2 linked regions of the Sus scrofa genome follow. The protein of the gene in region 1 purifies or fractionates together with the protein of each later gene. This does not show direct contact. Links are inferred from orthologs where the notes say so. Each region holds a gene or a part of one and is shown in the gene's direction. Other genes may lie near its edges.

The links. Proteins that work in one complex are often made in the same cells at the same time.
Region 2: the proteins of MEPCE (region 1) and SRSF3 purify together in Homo sapiens (affinity purification with mass spectrometry; 3 studies listed by BioGRID and IntAct, with this or other methods). This does not show direct contact. The link is inferred for Sus scrofa from reciprocal best matches to the Homo sapiens genes MEPCE and SRSF3.

The regions. Positions count from the first base shown.
Region 1 is NC_010445.4:8,355,664-8,365,267, forward strand, and holds MEPCE (7SK snRNA methylphosphate capping enzyme), read left to right. Parts: upstream 1-938; 5' UTR 939-1,995; coding exon 1,996-3,669; intron 3,670-4,914; coding exon 4,915-5,133; intron 5,134-5,306; coding exon 5,307-5,433; intron 5,434-5,548; coding exon 5,549-5,601; 3' UTR 5,602-6,135; downstream 6,136-9,604. Other genes in the region: PPP1R35 (protein phosphatase 1 regulatory subunit 35), read right to left, coding at 7,414-7,587, 7,692-7,828, 7,913-8,165, 8,243-8,485. UniProt on the Homo sapiens protein: S-adenosyl-L-methionine-dependent methyltransferase that adds a methylphosphate cap at the 5'-end of 7SK snRNA (7SK RNA), leading to stabilize it.
Region 2 is NC_010449.5:32,289,625-32,299,875, forward strand, and holds the end of SRSF3 (serine/arginine-rich splicing factor 3), read left to right. Parts: intron 1-1,679; 5' UTR 1,680-1,681; coding exon 1,682-1,887; intron 1,888-3,381; coding exon 3,382-3,516; intron 3,517-4,338; exon of another isoform or gene 4,339-4,796; intron 4,797-5,669; coding exon 5,670-5,708; intron 5,709-5,946; coding exon 5,947-6,033; intron 6,034-6,150; coding exon 6,151-6,178; 3' UTR 6,179-9,028; downstream 9,029-10,251. UniProt on the Homo sapiens protein: Splicing factor, which binds the consensus motif 5'-C[ACU][AU]C[ACU][AC]C-3' within pre-mRNA and promotes specific exons inclusion during alternative splicing.

The DNA.
Region 1 (9,604 bases):
TCGCCCTAAAGAGAAAACCTCTCCTCAGGCAACAGGTACTAGGATTGGCCGCGCCTAGCACCTTCACCTGCAACCGGAAAAGCACCAGCAATCTTCTGGAGCGAGGAGGACCTAAAGGCCAGGAGCAGAATGAGCTACCGCAGCAACTCTGCAAACCCCTCCAAAACTCGAGCCAGTTTTCCCGCCACCAAGCAAGGTAAGGCGCGAGGCCACACACAAGCTCCACCCCACCCCTCCTACAAGCGGCGTGCTCGCAGGACTGCTGCGCATGCGCAGCTGGAAGCTAGTTCGGCGCTTGCGCAGCTGAGTTATAGCGCCATCTTCCAAACAAACGCCCTGTAAAACTACAAGTCCCATAATCCTGGTTGGCCTCACTTTTTTTTTTTTTTAGGTGGCAGCAGCAGTGCCTGATCGTTCATGAAGCCCATCTTCCTTTTCCTAACTTTTTTCTCTGCCCTAGACTTCCTTCCTGATTCCCATTCTCCCTTTGAGTCTCCTTCAAACCCTTATTTTGATATTTTGAGACTACCCTTAACACCACTCCCGCCTCTTTCGCCCTCTTCGCAGCCACAGGACCCAAACCCCAATCGCTGTGGGCCCGGAGAACGGGCCCCCTCTGAAAAGGGCATCGAGTAGCTTGTTCCCCATTGGCTGAGGCCGGGGCCCCCAAAGCCGACCGAAATCTCTTCCCTGCCCACGTTCGTTTTTATATAAGGCGGCGCAAACGCGCCGCGGGTGCTCGGAAAAGCCTGCGTGCAAAGGGGGCGGTGGTGGTAGATATACTGTTATTGGTGGCTGTGGTGGGCGTCTGGGTCGCCGTTCCCTAACGGGGGGAGGGGCTCGCGAGCAGGCGTCGGGTGGTGGGTGTGGAGGCGGAGAGGAGGGCGTGGTGTCCCCAGGTGATCGCGATTGAGGGAAGGCGGAGGAGCGAGAGAACGACCTGGCCGTTTCGGGGAAAGAGGAAGTTGGACAACATCGCCTTAGTACTTTTTTTCCCCCAGTTCATCAGAGAATATTTTCCAGGGGGGTGAGTTAAAATGACCTATTGTATTATACTGAGAACAGTAGTTAGGAAGACAGTGGGTACACTCCGCTCCTTTCCTTCTCCTACTTCTAGGTTCGCCCCTCTTTAGAAATAGGTGGGCCAAGAGGGCCACCACTTTATGAATAATTCACGAGGGCCTCCCCGTTCTTTAGCCACGCCCCTCCGAATCGTGCTGACGCATGTTGCGCGTACCAAACCTGAGGAAGCGACGTAGCAGTCCCCGCCTCTAGGACGGAGGGAGGGGCGTCATCTCCAGCACGTGCTGCATCTACCCGCGCAAGCCCAAAAGGGTGTGCGCAGGCGCTGCCCGCTAGGGGGAGGAAGGAGGCGGGGTAGGGAGGTTGCTGGGTTTAGAGCCGGGCGGAGACGGCAGAGACTCATTCCTCAGGAACAAGGGTCGGGTGTCAAGGAGACCTTTTCACACCAGCTCCCCGTCCCCCGCCTACGGTGGGTGGGATCGCGCGGCAGAGACAAAGGATATCACTAGGGACGGACGTAGCTGCGAAGGGAAGTAGGGCGTCAGTTTGGGGTGGTGGGCTTTGGTTGGGGGGGCTTAGGGGGGCTATATTTAAACTCCCGGAGCCGTTAAGTTGGTTCGTACTCTGATGCGCGCGCAACCAGGGTGGTGGCTGAGTGCGCATGCGTGATTCCGGGGCCAGAGGAACGCGCTCCAGCAGTGCGCGCTCGCGGCGAAGCGGTAGTGGTAGAGGAGAAAGGAGTCGGCGCACGCGCGGTTGGTTCCTCGAGTTCGGGTCTCGCGGGCATCTTGTTTTGGTCTCGCGGGCGAGTGGGGCGCGCTTCGGGGGAGGCGCTTGGGGACGAGACTAGGCGAGAAGCGGAACTGCGCGCGCACTCAGGAAAGGGGGGAAGGGAGCGCGGTCTTAGGAAGGGGGGGTTAAGCCCCCTGGTCCCCCTGGTTGCCCTCGACTGGGACGGAATAAGGGGAGGAAATGATCGAGATGGCGGCGGAGAAGGAGCCGTTTCTGGTGCCGGCCCCGCCACCGCCGCTCAAAGATGAGTCGGGCGGAGGGGGCGGCCCCACGGTGCAACCACACCGAGAGGTCGCCTCCGGGGAGCTCCGCGGCGGGACGCAGCGTGGGCCGGGCCCGCGCGCACACTCGGCGGGGTCCCCAGCTTCTGGGGCAGGCAAGGAGAGCCCCGGGGCTACCTCCACCCCTCGGGGCGGCCAGTCGCAGCAGCAGCGAGGGGGCGGCCCCCAGGCCCAGTCGACCGGAGAGGCCTGCTTGTCGGATCCCCAGGGGCTAGCCGCTCCCCCGGACGTGGGGGAGGAGCGCCGGGGAGGGGGCGGAACAGAACTGGGCCCCCTTGCTCCTCCTCGACCACGTAATGGCTATCAGCCCCACCGGCCCCCTGGGGGAGGTGGGGGCAAGAGGAGAAATAGCTGTAATGTAGGGGGAGGTGGTGGAGGCTTCAAACATCCGGCCTTCAAGAGGCGCAGGCGGGTTAATTCGGACTGTGACTCTGTCTTACCTTCCAACTTCCTCCTGGGGGGCAATATCTTTGATCCGCTGAACCTGAATAGTCTCCTGGATGAGGAAGTGAGCCGTGCACTCAATGCGGAGACCCCTAAGTCATCCCCACTTCCGGCCAAGGGACGAGATCCAGTGGAGATACTCATCCCCAAAGATATTACTGACCCTCTCAGTCTCAATACTTGCACTGATGAGGCCCAAGTAGTCCTTGCTTCACCACTCAAGACTGGTCGGAAGCGGCATAGACATCGGGGACAGCACCACCAGCAGCAGCAGCAGCAGCAGGCAACTGGAGGGAATGATAGCCACTCCGTGCTGCCCACAGCCCCCCTCACTCCCTCACTCCAAGGGGAGGGCACCACACAGCAGCAGCGGCAAAGGGGCCAGAACCGGGACGTCCCCCAACCCTATGAACTCAACACAGCCATCAACTGCAGGGATGAGGTCGTGTCTCCCCTTCCATCTGCCCTACAGGGTCCCTCAGGCTCCCTTTCAGCCCCTTCAGCTGCCTCAGTTACCTCTGCACCCCCGTCTTCCTCCTCACGACATCGCAAACGTCGCAGGACTTCCAGCAAGTCAGAGGCAGGGGCTAGGGGTGGAGGCCAGGGTCCCAAGGAAAAGGGCAGAGGGAGTGGGGGAGGCCGCCAACACCCCCACCCACTACCTGCAGCAGGCTTCAAAAAGCAGCAGTGCAAGTTCCAGTATGGGAATTATTGCAAGTACTATGGGTACCGCAATCCTTCCTGTGAGGATGGGCGCCTTCGGGTTATGAAGCCTGAGTGGTTTCGGGGTCGTGACGTCCTAGATCTGGGCTGCAACGTGGGCCATCTGACTCTGAGCATTGCCTGTAAGTGGGGCCCATCCCGCATGGTGGGCCTGGACATTGATCCCCATCTCATCCACTCGGCCCGCCAAAACATCCGACACTACTTGTCTGAAGAGCTGCGTCAGCCACCCCAGACTTCTGAGGGGGACCCAGGAACAGAGGGTGAGGAAGGGACCTCAACCGTCCAAAAGAGGAGCTGCTTCCCAGCTTCCCTGACCGCCAGCCGGGGTCCCATCGCTGCACCCCAAGTGCCCTTGGATGGAGCAGACACGTCCGTCTTCCCCAACAATGTTGTCTTCGTCACGGTAAGAAGATCTGCAGGCTTGGGATAGGGGCCTGGGAATGAAGATGAGATTAAACAGGAACATGGCAGGGGAAGGTTACGACCCAGAGGGCTTCTGTGCACATGAAGAGCCCACATCCTCAAAAGAAGGGTCTGAATCGGCGACTGATTCCACTGGGTGTCTTTCCCCTCCTATAACCTAGCAAGGTGGGGAAGGTAGGGGCTCTACTTGGAGTCCTTTCTCATGACTACAAGCCCCAGGATAGGCACAGACTCCTGTCCACCTTCCCTTGGGGGCTGCTGCTCATCTGGTCCAAATGAAAACCTGTCCTCCAACCTCCTGAAGGTGCATGGAATGGGGGGAGGATTGAGGAAGTGGCTAATACTCATAGTTTCTGCCCTTCCATAAGGACCTCGTTTACAGTTAGATGCAGAGTTGGTTGAAGAGTGTCCCGTGGCCTTAAATCCTCTCCACACTGACCCTAGATGATGGGGTGGGGGAGAGTCAGAAAGTCCTCTGTAGGAAAGATGACTGTGCCCTCAGTGTCTGTCCCCTGACTTCACGTGGCTTCCCATAAAATGCTCCAGGTAGGCCTTCCACAGGAATAGAGTGTGTTGGGTTACAACTGGAAGAATGGACTTGGCAGACGGTGGTAATAAGCTTATCATCTAGAAAACTTTTCTTGGGATGAAGCTCTTCATTTCCCTGAGAGAAAGGGAAGAATAGGCCTGAAACTTTGTCAGCCCCAACTACAGGAAATGAGCCCACAGGTCTCCCTTTCAAACCTGAGTTAGAGCCCTTTGCATAATGTTGGGTCACTGAGCTCAGTGATTGTGGAGTGGGAATAAGTACTGGACAGGGTCCTAGGAGAACCCAAGCATTCTTTCTTTGCAATTTGACCCCAACTTTGTCGATCTCATGGATAATTTGCTCAACTTAAAATTATCCAGGCTCCCTTTTTATGTTTGATTGGCTTGTTACCAATAGAAAGCAAGAAAATGAGACTCAAAAGAGGGCACCATTTAGAGTTCCCTGGTGGCTAAAGATTCAACATTGTCACTGCTGTGGCTCAGGTTTGGTCCTTCGCCCTGGAACTTCCATGTGCTGTGGGCCCAAAAAAACCAGAGGGCACCGTTTGGGAGTTATTTTGAGGCATGTCAGAGGAGGTTGTGGCCAGGACTATAGTGAGGCTGCAGAGTGGACTGTGGGGGCGGCAGTGGTTCTTGAATGCGTCTCTTGACCTCACCCCTAACTCTTCACCCTCAGGGTAACTATGTGCTGGATCGAGATGAGCTGGTGGAGGCCCAAAAACCTGAGTATGATGTGGTGCTCTGCCTCAGCCTCACCAAGTGGGTGCATCTCAACTGGGGAGACGAGGGGCTGAAGCGCATGTTTCGCCGGATCTATCTGCACCTCCGCCCTGGGGGCATCCTGGTCCTGGAGCCCCAACCTTGGTCAACCTACGGCAAGAGAAAGACTCTCACGGTGAGTTGGGGTTTCTGTGGAAATTGTAGCTGTCCTTCCTTTAGTTGAGGCAAGAAAGGTCTCAAGGAAGCAGAAAGCGGACTTTCTGAAGTGAAAAGGCCCCCTGGGTGGGCATCACTCTCCATCAACAGAGAAGGCACCAAGCTGAAGCGGTCCCTTGCCCTTCTCTCTAGGAAACAATCTACAAGAACTACTATCGAATTCAGCTGAAGCCAGAGCAGTTCAGTTCCTACCTGACATCCCCAGAGGTGGGCTTCTCCAGCTATGAGCTTGTGGCCACACCTCACAACACCTCCAAAGGTAAGGCTGGCTTATTTTGTTGGGGGTGGAAGGGAGGCCTGTCCTGGTGCAGGGTAGACCCTGTGGAGAGTCTTAAGGTCCTGCCAACCCCTCCTGATGGCACACTCTTCCTCAGGCTTCCAGCGTCCTGTGTACCTGTTCCACAAGGCCTCTTCCCCCAGCCACTAAGTGGCCTCCTGAACAGAGAGTATGAAGAAGCTGCCCACTGCTCCTGAGGACCTGGGGGAAGAGGAAGTATCCCAAGGTCTTTCCTTTCTGGCTCCAAAAATACTTTCCTTTCTTGGATCTGCAAAGAACGCTTTTCTTATGTTGCTGCCCCAGCCTCTCCCCTACACCTCTGGCACCTAAGCCCAGCTGTGCTGGAGTTACCATCTTCCTCTCCCCCGGCCCACTGGGCTGGATGGCATGGACTGTTTGCTGACCTCTGTTCTCCTAGGGCATGGGAGGTAGAGTTACCAAGTTCTCTAGCCTCTTCTTCCTGTCCTCCCAAGGAGAGATTCCCATTTCTCCTCAGCCCTTGTCCCTAGCTGCGTTTCAGTGGACCACGGATAGATGGACTAAGGGTTAAGAGGGGGAAGGTGGCGGGGAGGCATACAGGTACTGTGAAAATCCTTCCCTCTGCTGTCCCCCACTGGGAGAGGGGTTTGGGTTTGGATTGTGAGAACAGCACAATAAACTTGATGTTTAGGGCAGTGGCCCCCACACCTGTGTATGGGGCATTCTAGTGGCAGGGACGGGGACGGGGGGGGTGCTTCCTCTCTGCCCAAACTATAGTCTTAAGGAAAAGGACGAGTTCTTTTCAGTGGTGGGAAGATTATTGAATGCTACTGAGACCTACACACAAGTATACAGAATCCTAGATCAGGAAAAGCGGGTATAACGTGAATTCTGATGTGAAACAGAAATGTCCCTCTACCCTCCCCAAAAAACCCACTGGCAAAATTTTTTGTGGGAGCTTTGGGCACAAAGCTAACTTTGGAAGCCGAAGTATAACTAGAAAAGGCACTCTTTGGACTGTAGCACCTTCCTACCCACATTTTTTGGTGTGCTGTGAAACCAGACTAATGGGTGATTTAATTAACATCAAATTCTTGGGCAGCTCAGCAGTGTTCCTGGAGCTGTGAACATTCATTCAACAAATATTAAGCACTCTTGGGTTAATGTAAACAAGATGAGTGAGTCCTTTAAGGTGAAAGCAAGGAGATAATTTCACCAAGGGTGCTAGCAGCTACCTTGCAGACTCTTTGAGCTGGGTTTTGAGGGAAGCCTTCCCCAAAGTGTGATGTGGGCTGAGACCCACATATTAAAGTGATCAGAAATAAGTGGTTCAAAGGAACAAATGAGGAGCTCCCATTGTGGCGCAGTGGTTAACGAATCTGACTAGGAACCATGAGGTTGCGGGTTCAGTCCCTGGCCTTGCTCAGTGGGTTAAGGATCTGGCATTGCTGTGAGCTGTGGTGTAGGTGGCAGACGCCGCTCAGATCCGACGTTGCTGTGGCTCTGGTTTAGGCCGGCGGCTACCACTCCGATTAGACCCCTAGCCTGGGAACCTGCTTATGCTGTGGGAGGGGCCCTAGAAAAGGCAAAAAGACAAAAAGAACTAATGAGGTGTCATCAAAAACAAAGGTGGTGGAGTTCTCTGGTGGCTCAGTGGGTTAAGACTCTGGTGGTGGTACTGCTGTAGCATGGGTTGGATCCCTGGCCTGGGAACTTCGGCATGCAAGAACACAAAAAGGTGGTAACTGACTGAAGTCAGGGTATGAGGTGAGAAGAGTATAGAAACCCTACTTGGGCAGTGTTTTCAACTCACCACTACCAAGTTCTTTTAAAGTTTAAGAGAACCAAAACCTTGACTTCAGGCAGCTTGCAACCTGAAACTTGACCTCATCTCAAGGGTCCCAAGAAGAGTCTTGTTAGCAAAACCACTTTATTCTGATCGTTTTAACAAATGTGCACTAGCAATCCAGGGAGCTTCCAGGTCTACGCTTCCCAGCGCCTCAGTGTCCGATGCATGAGGAAGGTGTCCTCTGAAGGGCGAGGCCGGAGTTGAAGCCGGAGAGGGGGCAAGCCTTCCAGGGTCAGGTGTGGAGATTCATAAAATAGTGTTTCTGGATCACACAAAATAGTCATGTCTGGCCCTGGCCCAGGTGGCTCCTGTTGGAGTGGGAACCCAAATCGAGATTACACTCGGGGAGGGGACAGGACCCGCGACAGTCGGGGAGGGGCCGGGATAGGCAAACGCAGGGCAGGTCCCTCACCTTTGGAGGCGGGGCTCGGGCCTGCGGCGGCAGGAGCGCCAGTTTCTCCCGCAGCGCGGCCTTCAGAACTTGTTCCTCGGGCACCTGCAGGCTCACCAGGTCCCGAAAGAGCCGCTTGGAGCGCGGCACGTTCAACCCTGAGGCCGCAGGAGGAGTGGAGGTGAGCGGCGCGTCTCACCCCGACTCCCGCGCCCGGCCAGCCATCTGTCTGCCCCCCTCACCCTCCGCCACGCTCTCCTCCAGGCCGCAGCGGGTCTGGAATGACTTCCTCAGCTGTTCCTCCACGGCCTTCGCGGCATCGAACTGGCCCCTGGCTGCGGCCCGTGCAGCCTGCAGCTCGAGGCTCAGGGCCAGGCTGCTCTGCTGCGCGGGCGCCCCCAGGTCCTGCGACGCCGCAGGTTTCTCGTTCGGTGCGGCAGCGGCCGGCGGCGGCTCGGACCTGACCGGGGAGGGCGGCGCCAGGCGGAAGCGGACCTGGGAACAGAGCGAGGTGGTGAGGAGGTGGGCGCGAGCCGGCGGCTGACTGGCGGCCAGCCCTCCCCCCAGCTCACCTGCCGTCCCTTGCGGGCCCCGCCCCGTCGGTCCGCCCGCCCCTTCCGCCGTCCAGGGCTGCAGTCGGGCCGCCGGTGCCCAGGGCTCTCGGACCGCGGGCTCAGGCTCAGGCTCAGATCCAGGCCGGGCTCCGGCACTGGGGCTCCGGGCTCCGGGGCGCGAGGTGTTGGAGGTGGCCCTGGGGCCGCCAGGGCCTCTCCCCCTCCCACCGACTCCAGCTCTGACTCCCTACAGCCCATCATCTTGGCGGGGGTCGCTGGGGGCCAAGGGTCACGAAGCGCGGCCTCACCACCTCCTCTCCCCCGCCCTTCCTGAAAACCGTTGGCCCCTTCCCCAGGCGGGGGGGGAAACACCCAGCCCCGCCCTGTGGGGGCTCCTAAGCGTCACTTCCCCTGCTCTGCCCACGTGACTCCCTGTCGGCTTCCGCCCGCAGAACCTCGCCCCGCCTCTGGGCTGGGATCTTAAGAGTCCAAGCCTGTGGAAGCCTTACGGGTCCTCATCAAGACCAATTGTCCTCCCGATCCAGTCACCACGACTTCAGTTTGAAAGACCGCTGGAACCTGTCCCTGGACTGTGACGCGAGCCCTGAAGAATACAGGCTTGCATCTACTCTGATCCTTATCTGAGGCCCTGTTTCCCACTCCCTAACCTCATCCTTTTCTCTCTCAAAGAAGGGCACAGTCTTTAAGGCATAAGCCTGCTGTGGCCTCCTTTGCCTGGCAAAGCAATAAAAGCTATTCTTTTCTACTTCGCCCAAAACTCTGTCTCCACTTTTCTTTTTAGCACCAGTAAACAGAAGCCGAGTTTCGGCAACCCCTGTGCAGTACCTCCAGAGCATCTCCAGGTGTCCCATCACCTCTGAACCCCAGCAGAGCTTCCCAGTTTGAGTGAGGACCTGGCTCACTGACGCCAGCCCGTCTCCCTCCTAGGACTCTGGGCATCGTGGCTGCCAGGGCGATAAATAGATAGTCAACAGGCATGTCTGTATACCACTTTTCAGTTTGAGAGTTTTTACATTCTTTATCTTCCCAAGAAACCCTGTGGAAGATCAGAGAGAATGGATAGTGTTACCTGCGTTTTACAAAATAAAGTTTTCTAGGATCTCAATGGTGAAACTCTAAAAGCTTTCCTGCTAAAATCAGGAGTGAGAAAGTATAACCATTCCCTTTACTGCTGATCTTGCTCAACTTATGATGGGGCTATGTCACATTAAAGCCATTGTAAGTTGAAAAACAGCATAAATTGAAAATTCATTTAATACACCTACTGAACATCACAGCTTAGCCTACCCTCCCTTAAATGTACTCAGAGCATTTTCATTAGCCTATAGCTGGGCAGAATCATCTAACAGAAAGCCTATT
Region 2 (10,251 bases), on another chromosome or scaffold:
ATGAGGTGGGAAATGGGCCTTAACAGGACCGAGGTGGGGCCAGGCCCAATGGCGGCGCCAGATTGAGACAAAGAGACGCTGCCGCCATTTTGTGACGTTCAACACGGGGCGGTGGAGGGGGCTCCCGGCCCCCCGGAGCAGGCACCCAGGCTTCCAAGTGGAGGTGCTTATAACCCTTCCCTGGGGGGCTGAATCGGGAAGTGAGATTGCTCGAGTTGAGGCAAAGGGGGTATCGGTAATCGGTTGTACTCTAGATCGCGGCCATTCAATTTATGGCGCCTTTTTTTTCTTTTTGCCCACGTTTCCTTAAGTAGCGGCTTAGGATTTTTTTTCTTCAAGTCACTACTCAAGACTGGACCCTTCGATCCATATTTGAGGATTTCTCTACTTTCTTTCATTTTCGTGTTACTTTAACTTCACTTTTTACAGCCTGAATCCAATAACTATTTTTTTTTAAGCTGATCTTTCTTGAGCTGTATTGTTCTTATAGCTGCTTCGCATTAAAACTGGTCAGGGTAAAGTTTTTGGGAAAGATTAATTCACCAACAATGGGTTTGGTCTCGGAACTTCTGGGCACAGGGCGGGGTCACACAAATAGGATGTGTCTGGGCGGGTATTTTTTTTTTTTTTAATTGGATAACGTGTTTATGAAAAGCCCTTAAGCTGAGTTTTTGGACAGGCTGCTTTTCGTATGTAATCTACAAGTTGATTAGATTCGTTGCTGAGGCGGCTTTATTAGTATTGAAGGTTTTTCAAATGTAAACTAAAGTGCCTTAAGTTCTTGCACAACAAATAATCTATTTTTTTCCCCATGAGGTGGAGTTAATGTAACATTCATTTTAAAGTGCACGATTCAGAAGCATTCGATACCTTCACAATGTTGTGTAACTATCACCTCTATCTAGTTTTAAAGCATTTTATTATACCCACTAAGGTGACCTGTACTGTTAAGCAGCCACTACCCTTTTGGCCTGCCCCTTTCTCTCCCGCAGCCCCTGGTAGCTACTAATCTGTCTCTGGATTTACCCGTTTCGGATATTTCACATACATGGGATGGTATTACGTGTATTTTTTTTGTCTGATATCTATAACTTAGCATGCTTTCACGTTTTGTCCATGTTTATGGGTACTCGTTCCTGAATACTCCATTGTATGGGTAATAATTTTGCTTCTCCATTTTGTTGCTGGACATTTGGGTTAACACCTTTCGGCTGTTGAGGGTAGAACAAGATATATATTTTTAAAAAACAAGTTTGTCCTGCTTGAGTAAAGTTTTGGCTTGTGAAGGCACATTACTATCACTTTTTTAGTGGTTTAGCCTTAACTGCTGTCTTGTCTTCACTTGTCATTTTGTTTTGTAGTCTCCAGGTTTTGCTTTTAATCCTACTTTTCAAAGTTGTTCCTCCCCCCCCTTCAGATAACTGAAATAGGTTTAAGTCTCTCAGTTCCCATTTTGTGGCATATGCTCCCCTACTGTTTCCTCCCTCCACTTCTCTGGGAGGTGATTTTTTTTTTTATTTTCTTACACAGCTTGGCTTCCAGGTGGTTATTGGCAACGATTGGGGTGTTTCAAGGGTAGTGCCTTTACCTTTTTTCGGTTTTTGAATTCTTTCCTAAGGATCTGTTTTTTACTGTGTGGGTTATGATATTTTGGATTTTTTTTTTTTTTTTTGTTACAGAAATGCATCGTGATTCCTGTCCATTGGACTGTAAAGTTTATGTAGGTAATCTGGGAAACAATGGTAACAAGACTGAATTGGAACGAGCTTTTGGCTATTATGGACCACTCCGAAGTGTATGGGTTGCTAGAAATCCTCCTGGCTTTGCTTTTGTTGAATTTGAAGATCCCCGAGATGCAGCTGATGCTGTCCGAGAGCTAGATGGGAGGTAATTTGTTAATTTTTGCTAATAATATGTTGTTTGTCCTTTTAATATTTAAAATCTCTAGGATAAGAGGTTTTTAGATGGCTTTGTGGAGATTTACATAAATTTTTTTTTTTCTGGCCAAAAAAGGACAACGGTTTTAGTGACGATACGTAGGGAGAGTTTATTCAGTTTGCCATTGAAGAAAAGAATTTTATTTGCAGTTGGCGGGTGGAGAGCAGCATCCAAAATATGACTGAAATATTTTAATCTAAATCCACTATAAATAGTCATGTTGTAAACTTTGAAATCTAAAATTGTGGAATCAGACATTCCCTTATGGTCACATCCTGATTGATTGTAGCTGGATGATGGTTACATGGGTTTATTGTACCATTATCTTTACATGATAACACTTTTTTTTAGGAAGTGTGGGTGTTATTTCCCTATGCTTTTAGTGTCTTGTTGACTGGCTAAGTAACACCTGAGGTTAGTTGGGTGTTTTGTTTTGTTTTTTGGTTTTTTTTGTTTGTTTTTTCTGTGCTAGTGGCTTGTGGATGTTCCCAGGTTCTGGGATCAAATGTGACAGTGCTGCATTCTATTTTTTTTTTTCTATTACTCAGTGAACTTATTACATTTTTAGTTGTACGATGATCATCACAATCCAATTTTATAGGATTTCCATCCCCCAACCCCCCCAAACTGTCTCCAGTGCTGCATTTTTAACTTGCTGAGCCACCGGGGAACTCAAATAACACCTGAGTCTTAAAGTGAACTAGTGTTGCCCTTTATCCTGGCATTTGCAAACCACTGGATTTCATGAAATCAAGGAAAACTTTGATCCTTAAGATGGAAAACTGAAAGGATCTGAGAGTTGGCTGTAAAGCTATATGAAAGGTCACTTAACTAAGCAAATTGCAGAAACTGGTTGAGAGCCCCACCTCTTCCCAGTGTCTGTCCAAATGTGGCTTATCTAAACTTAATGGTTGTGGACCAATGAAGAGGTGGGAGATAACTTTCTTACTGTTCTCACTTGCAATTTCTTGTCAACTATTGTGTGATGATTGAGTGGAGAGGGTTGTATTAAATAAATGGCCAGAATGCTTCTGTCCTGTTTACTGCTCTTTACTTGGAGGTATGAAGAGAAAGGAGACCAACAAATATAGTAAGGTTGGTAAACAATTGCTGGGACCTCAAAGGAAGTAGTCACACCAGCATGTACAGATGAACTAATTCTTTGAGAATGGATCCAGGGATTTTCACACTTAATATTGTCACTGTGATCATTGAACCCAATGATCACACTGACTAACAAAGCAATAAAATGTAAGGAAGGTGTTTTTTACCAGAAAAAAATATAGAAACTAAACCTTGTTTTGGTGTTAAGAATTCTATGAGCATTCAGATGTTTCTTACACAGAAACTAGCTATAAATGAATGTTGGGGTTTTTTTCCCGCTTTAATGTGTATCTTTTAATCAATCCGGCTGCTTTAAATTTAATGTTTCTTCCCTCTTAGAACGCTGTGTGGCTGCCGAGTAAGAGTGGAACTCTCTAATGGTGAAAAGAGAAGTAGAAATCGTGGCCCACCTCCTTCTTGGGGTCGTCGCCCTCGAGATGATTATCGGAGAAGGAGTCCTCCACCTCGCCGCAGGTACTTAGAGAGAGCGTGTTTAGAGGTATTGGTGTAATGGAGTAGCTGATAGGAACAGGTATTCTCTTAAAGTTTGTTGGTGGGTTTTAAACTTTGAAGAATCAGAGGTTTTTATGAAACATTTGCTGGGCGTAGCTTGGGGTATGTGAGTTGTGCTGAGTGTTGGCTTTTGTCTTAGGTCACTGTTCATGTTGGTAGTCAGTAACTTCTATCTTGGATCTATCTTCTAGTTCATCTTCTAGTTGCATCTTTCCAAGTCTTCCCTTATACTTCAATTTAGGCCTTTTTCCATTTCTTGACTCCATAATGACAAACATTACATTCAATTCTAGCTCTTCACCAAAATGTGTTTTCTACTATTGTAATATTTATCAAACAGGCAGCTGTTTTAATGTTGCAACTGGTAAAGTAGAAGTCATTCTGAAACTAACTTAAGTCACTGACCAATAAAGGGGGCTAAAGTAATCCCAGTCATCTGTTCTTCAAACCCAAATAGGAGAGAATTCAGTTTTTTTATAATTAAAAATGGCATCTTTCTTGGACCAGGCAGTATTGTCTGGATGCTAACTCCACATCTCCTCAAACCTCCAAAATAGTTTCTATAGGACTGAATTTACCTCTTACAGGTGAGTGAAGTCCTTCTAGGAGATAGGAGTTCAAAATCTTGCCCCTTTTGCTGTTTTGAAAAACAAAACAACACACTGTTGCCCATCATAATAAAGAGTATTTGTTAGCTAATAGATGGTTGTACTGATGGCTTGTTTTTCATTTTTTTTTTGTGCTTTTTGGTCCATCTATTAATAAAAATGAACCCCGTTACAGAGTCACCATCATGTCTCTTCTCACCACCCTCTGAATCTGCATTAGCCAGTCAACTAGCCCTTTCAGCGTCATGTGACCAGCGCGCCCCATTCAGCTTGGCTGGTGTCGTTTCACATGACCCAGGCATGGCCAGTCGTCAGGTTGCACCGCCCTTTGGTTCCCGAGCATGCTGTTTTCTCTCAGCCTTCTCTCCAACCTTAACCAAATCGGCAGCAGCCACCTCGACCGCCCACACATTCCTGGCCAATCAGCTCAGCTGTTTATTTACCAAATGTCTTCACAACAACTACAGCAGCAGCCTTCGGCTAACAAAAAAGCAGGAAAAATCCACAACACCCCCTTCGCCAACCAACTAAATCCAACGCAACATCTGGCAAAACCTTTTCAGCAAATTCTTCCTGGCCGTCAGTCCGGCAGCCTCACCTCACCATTTCTAGCTTGTTGAAACCCAAAAACTAGTAAGTTTTTCCTGCTTATACAGTTTACTGCTGGTTAAAATAAGGAGTAAGCGGCTTAAAGTAATTCTTTTTTCTGGATCAAAGGCTGGCTGTGCATAATTGAATGGTAACGTACATATATATTGCTTGAATAAAACTTTTAAGGGTGATAGGGAACTCATAATGTAACTAGACCTTCAAGTGAAACTTATTTGCATGTTTGAGATGCCAAACTAAAATTTTAATAATTCTAACAGATTTAGCTTTCCTTTCTAGCAAAAATTTGTTGAATCCTATCACCTTTAAATGGTTTTACTAACAGTTTTCAAAAATTAAAATTTTGGGGGTGAAGTGGGCCAAGCTAAGGTAATTTTGATAAGCCTAAACACACTCTTAAATGTGACGATCACAAATGGCAGTTCTAATGTAGCACTTAATGGCATCAATATTTACACCTAGCGCGTTTTCACAGAATTACACTATCCACCTGGTACCTAAGTCTTGTCATGGACTTATAGGTTTGCATGGGTTCCAAATACTGATTTATGGTACTGTTTTTGGAACTATTGTGGGACTACATTTTGGTGTGGTGTTTGGGTAGTGAAGTTAGTTTGACATGAAAGTTTTGCATTGGACAGATCTGCTGTGAAGCATTCTTTGTTAAAGTGAATCCATGGTTGGATACCTGCTTTTCACTTGAGCTTTTGGTTCCTTAATCCTTCTGTGCCTTTTTTCTTTTCTTTAAAAAAAAATTTTTTTTATTATTTTTGGACGATGGGTGCCAGTTCTTCGGCACATTCACTGGGCCCAACAGTGAGATTGAAAAGTTGGGAAATGCCTCACGCCATAAATGCTAATTGACAGTTAGTCTAATTTTCCTGTTTCTGCTTTTAGATCTCCAAGACGGAGAAGCTTCTCCCGTAGCCGGAGCAGGTAAATAACTACTTTTTGCGGGCCACGTTCTCAGAAATGGGAGTATTTGTGCTGTTCCTAAGCTGTTTTCCAAATGACTTAGATAATAGTAATAGATGTTGACTTTCATAATGACTGAGGTAGTATCTGTAACCACTGTTAAGTTGTAAGAAAAATTAGTTTTTAGTTTTTCAAAATCTTGGAAATACGGGTGTATGATCCTGAATGGCCCTATTTTTTTTTTCCCCTCTGACTTCAGGTCCCTTTCTAGAGATAGGAGAAGAGAGAGATCACTTTCTCGGGAGAGAAATCACAAGCCGTCCCGTTCTTTCTCTAGGTCTCGTAGGTAAGATCTTTAATGACCTGAGGCATAAAAGACCTTGCATACATAATGTACTAAAAACAAGTACTTCTTTTAAGTCATTTTGATACAATTTTTGTAACTTTTGGTTTTTGTTTTTAGCCGATCCAGGTCAAATGAAAGGAAATAGAAAACCAGTTTGCAAGAGGAGTGGTGTACAGCAAATAACTTCATTTGACAGGAGTATGTACAGAAAATTCAAGTTTTGTTTGAGACTTCATAAGCTTGGTGCATTTTTAAGATGTTTTAGCTGTTCACATTTGTTTGTCTCTTGGCAACAAAAGTAAAGATGTAATTTTTACACATAAAGATGTAATTCTCTATGGTTTGAAATGAATCATATGAGGCATGTAATACCAAGAATTGTTACTTTACAATGTTCCCTTAAGCAAAATTGAATTTGATTTTTTTTTTTTAAGTCTTGCATAGATTGATAATAAACCTCTAACTCCTGCCCAGCTAAACTGTGATGTTCAATATTACTGAAGCAAAACCGGCAAAAATTTGAGAAGACTTTCCATAGCTGGAATATGGTGTGCAGTTGTAGTTGAGCAAGCAGTCTTTAAAAGCTGCTATGAATGCAAACCAGCAGGTAAAAGTTAAAGCTGCATCATTAAACTACTAGATTAGAGGTTTAAAAATCCCACTAGTCTTCATAATGGACAGGATATTGTCCAGTTGTATAGAATCTAAGAAGTTTCAGGAAAATTAGTTTACTTTTGCTTTAGGTCATAAGTTCCTTCTGTGATTGCTATATATGAATACATAGCTCTTTGTAACATTCTTTATTTGAAAATTGGAGACTATTCAAGATACATTCTGATGTTCTACCAGTTTAAGGGTACATTGTAGAGCTGAACTTTGAGTTACTGTGCAAGATTTTTTTTCATGCTGTCATTTGTAATATGTTTTGTGAGAATCCTTGGGATTAAAGTTTTGGTTACAAATTGTTGTTTAACCTGAAAGCCTGTTTTTCCTTGCAAAACTAAAATCTGTGAGCTTGGTACCAAGTCCAGGTATAACATTCCTATTGGAAGCCATACTTATATTTTCTTGTAAAGTGCTTTTGACAATAAAATATTAGCATAATTGTGTAATAGTCGAACCCACTGTTACCATAGTTCTTGTCCCATAGAAGGCAGTTGGTTACACAAATCTTAACTCTGTAAGCACAGTTGAGGCTTTTGAAATGAAAGGAATTGTGTCCACCTAAGTGATAAAACTTAAATTTTTAGGCGTAGAAGCCAGTTCAAAAAGTCCATGATACTCAGTGACCAACATTTTAAAGTATAGCCACCTGATACATTATAATCCAAAGTTGCCCTTTAAAAGGGGCTTTTATCATTAGCATGAAAACTTTAACACAGAGCTTTAAAAATTGCTTCCATTTTATATAATTTGAGGTGTTGCATGGGAATTCTAAATTGGTCCGTCATGATGTAAAATCCACTATATGGTTAAAATGTAACAGTACAGAGTTGCATACGGAGGCATGCATAACTTTCCTCTTAGAAATCTAGAGGAGTTGTAACTTCAAATTTTTGTGCAATTAGATTAAATCATAATACAACAGTCTTGTGGCTTAGTTTCCTTAAATGTGCTATTTAAAGACAGTTTTGGATTATGCTGTACTGACTTTAATGTGAAAGATAAGTCATTAATCTGTAAGGATATTTTATAAGATACAAATCCTAAACACTATTTCCAGTGGTCCTTCTTAACCTTTCATGCAAATAATCAAGGGAGGAGAGTCTTTTGGTGTTGGTGAAGTTCAGTATGAGCCTTGTTATAGAAGATATTGTTAAGGCTGCCTGGTGATTTATTGGAGCTCAGATTTAGGGCCTTTTGTCATTTCATAGCTTAAAAGCTTTTGTTATGAACAAAGCAAGATAGCCAAAAATTCATGGAAGTAATAAGGTATATTAATTACACTGCTCTTAAATTTATATGGGCATTTTTGGCAGCATATAACTTGAAGAGACTTAAATTGGAAGGGTTTCTGTAAAAAATTATGGCAAAATGTGGCTGATACATAAAGTTAACCTCAGGGAGTTACCTTTAGGATCCAAATTTGTAATCACTTTAACCAGAAGCCCTAACACAAATTTATGGCTTGTTAAAAATACGGAAGATAGAAATTGTTAAAACCGCATTCTACATTTAGATTGCGGCTGTTCACTAGTTTCTGAAATTGTAAGTCCCATTTGTCAGTCTGTCTTGCATCATCAGTTGATGATACTGAAAACAGTCATAAAAACTTTGACTTGTGTATGATTACAAATGTTTGCTTACTAATATTTGGTGATAATTCAAGGAACATACCTAGGGATAAGTTGTTTTTTATGCTTACAGAAATATTTAACACTGATTCTCAGTTCATTGTGGATTACTTACCTCCATGTCTTAAGCAGAAAGATAAAAACAAAGATATATTAGCTGGAGAAATTTTTTTTTAATTTTACAAGATTTAGATACCTTTTGTCTACTGTTTCTATACTTTTTATAGTTTCTTAAAAAAGATCATGTGATCAGTAGATGGCATCTCCAGGTTTTTTCACCCATGTATGGATAGATAGGAAGCTCTGGTTGCTTTTTGTTGTAGAGTCATGGTTCATGTTCTTACAGTGCTGCTTTATCAGGAATGGTGTTAATCATAGCAATTTCCAAAATAACACACATCTGATTCCAGACCCACTGACTCATATTTCCATTCCTGGTTACATAAGAACCACTGGTTTAGAATTTTGTCTTAATGTGCTTTTATTTTCAGAATCCTGAACATGATTTAGTTGTCAGATCTAGTTGGTGGTAATGTCTTCCAGGTTGTATATTTTTGTACTAGACTGCTGCCTTCTGGTTTCCTCTTTTTCTTTTAAGAATATGAAAGATTTTTGTAATTAAAGTAGCTGAAGAAAAACTGGGTTGGAGTATATTTTTACCAAAATCTGATAGTGTTGAATTAAATTTTATGTCCACAAAAGCTTTTTTCATCCTGTTTTATTCATTGGATACCTCACAAGAATTTAGTTCTACAGCATACTTGTGAGGTTCTGAGAAAAGACATTGAAAATAAGGTCTTTTGATAAACCTAAATAACTGCTTAATTTTGTTCATGCAACTTTTCCTGTATTGGGACTGTAGAAATTTATAATACAGTATTCTTGTCATTTTGTATCCCAATTTTTAATTATTAATGGAACATACGACAGCTGAGATGTTTCCCAGGTTAACATGAAATAGATTTGGAGAACATTACTTTCCTCATATTTAGTTTTTCCTTGGTTCTAAAGTCTTAGAATCTGGCCACTAAGTGCCTTAAACTATTAGTATGTATATACACTTAAGAAGTGAAAAATCTTAGAAATGTTGACACTTAGCTTCATTTAGGGCTTGTTAAAAACATGGAAGATAGGGGAGTTCCCGTTGTGGCTTAGCAGAAGTTAATCTGACTAGGAACCATGAGGTTGTGGGTTTGATCCCTGGCCTTGTTCGGTGGGTAAGGATCCGGTGTTGCCATGAGCCGTGGTGTAGATCACAGATGCAGCTTGGATCTGGCGTGGCTGTGGCGTGGGCCGGCAGCTGTAGCTCTGATTTAACCCCTAGTCTGGGAATCTCCATGTGCCAAGAATGCGGCCCTAAAAAGCAAAAAAGGAAGATAGGAATTGTTAAATTCCTGTTCATCATTTGAAGAGGTCCTGGGATGGAGAATATTTCGCTTTATTTCCAGAGCAAAATTAAGCTTTCCAGAAAAGTAGTTTGTAGGTGACTGAGTTCTTGTCACTTGTGAATTTGTGCCTTCGCTTCACTATTACCTCATTCAGATTGCATTTGGGGCAAGTTAGCATCCTTCAGTGGTTGGGGCTTTGTTTTGTTTTGCTAAGTCCCCAAACTTTATAGCCAAGGGGAAAAGTTGCTGAAAATTGCTTATTGAAGGCTTCCTTGGAGGAGGGTGGGGTGTTATTTATAGTGATTTGGGAAGGGGAATGATCAGTATATGAAATGGAACATTTGGGGGAGTTAAAAGTTTTTTTGAAAGAGTAACCACTTTAGAAAACATTTTTTAAATCTTCTAAAACTTAGGCAGCTGGTACTTATTTTCAACCCAATTTTTTAGTTTAGAGAAAACCGTGTTTCAGCAGGAGTGCTTTGCAAATAAATACAAACTGGAATATTGATTTGTCATTTAATCCTTTTTGTGTCACA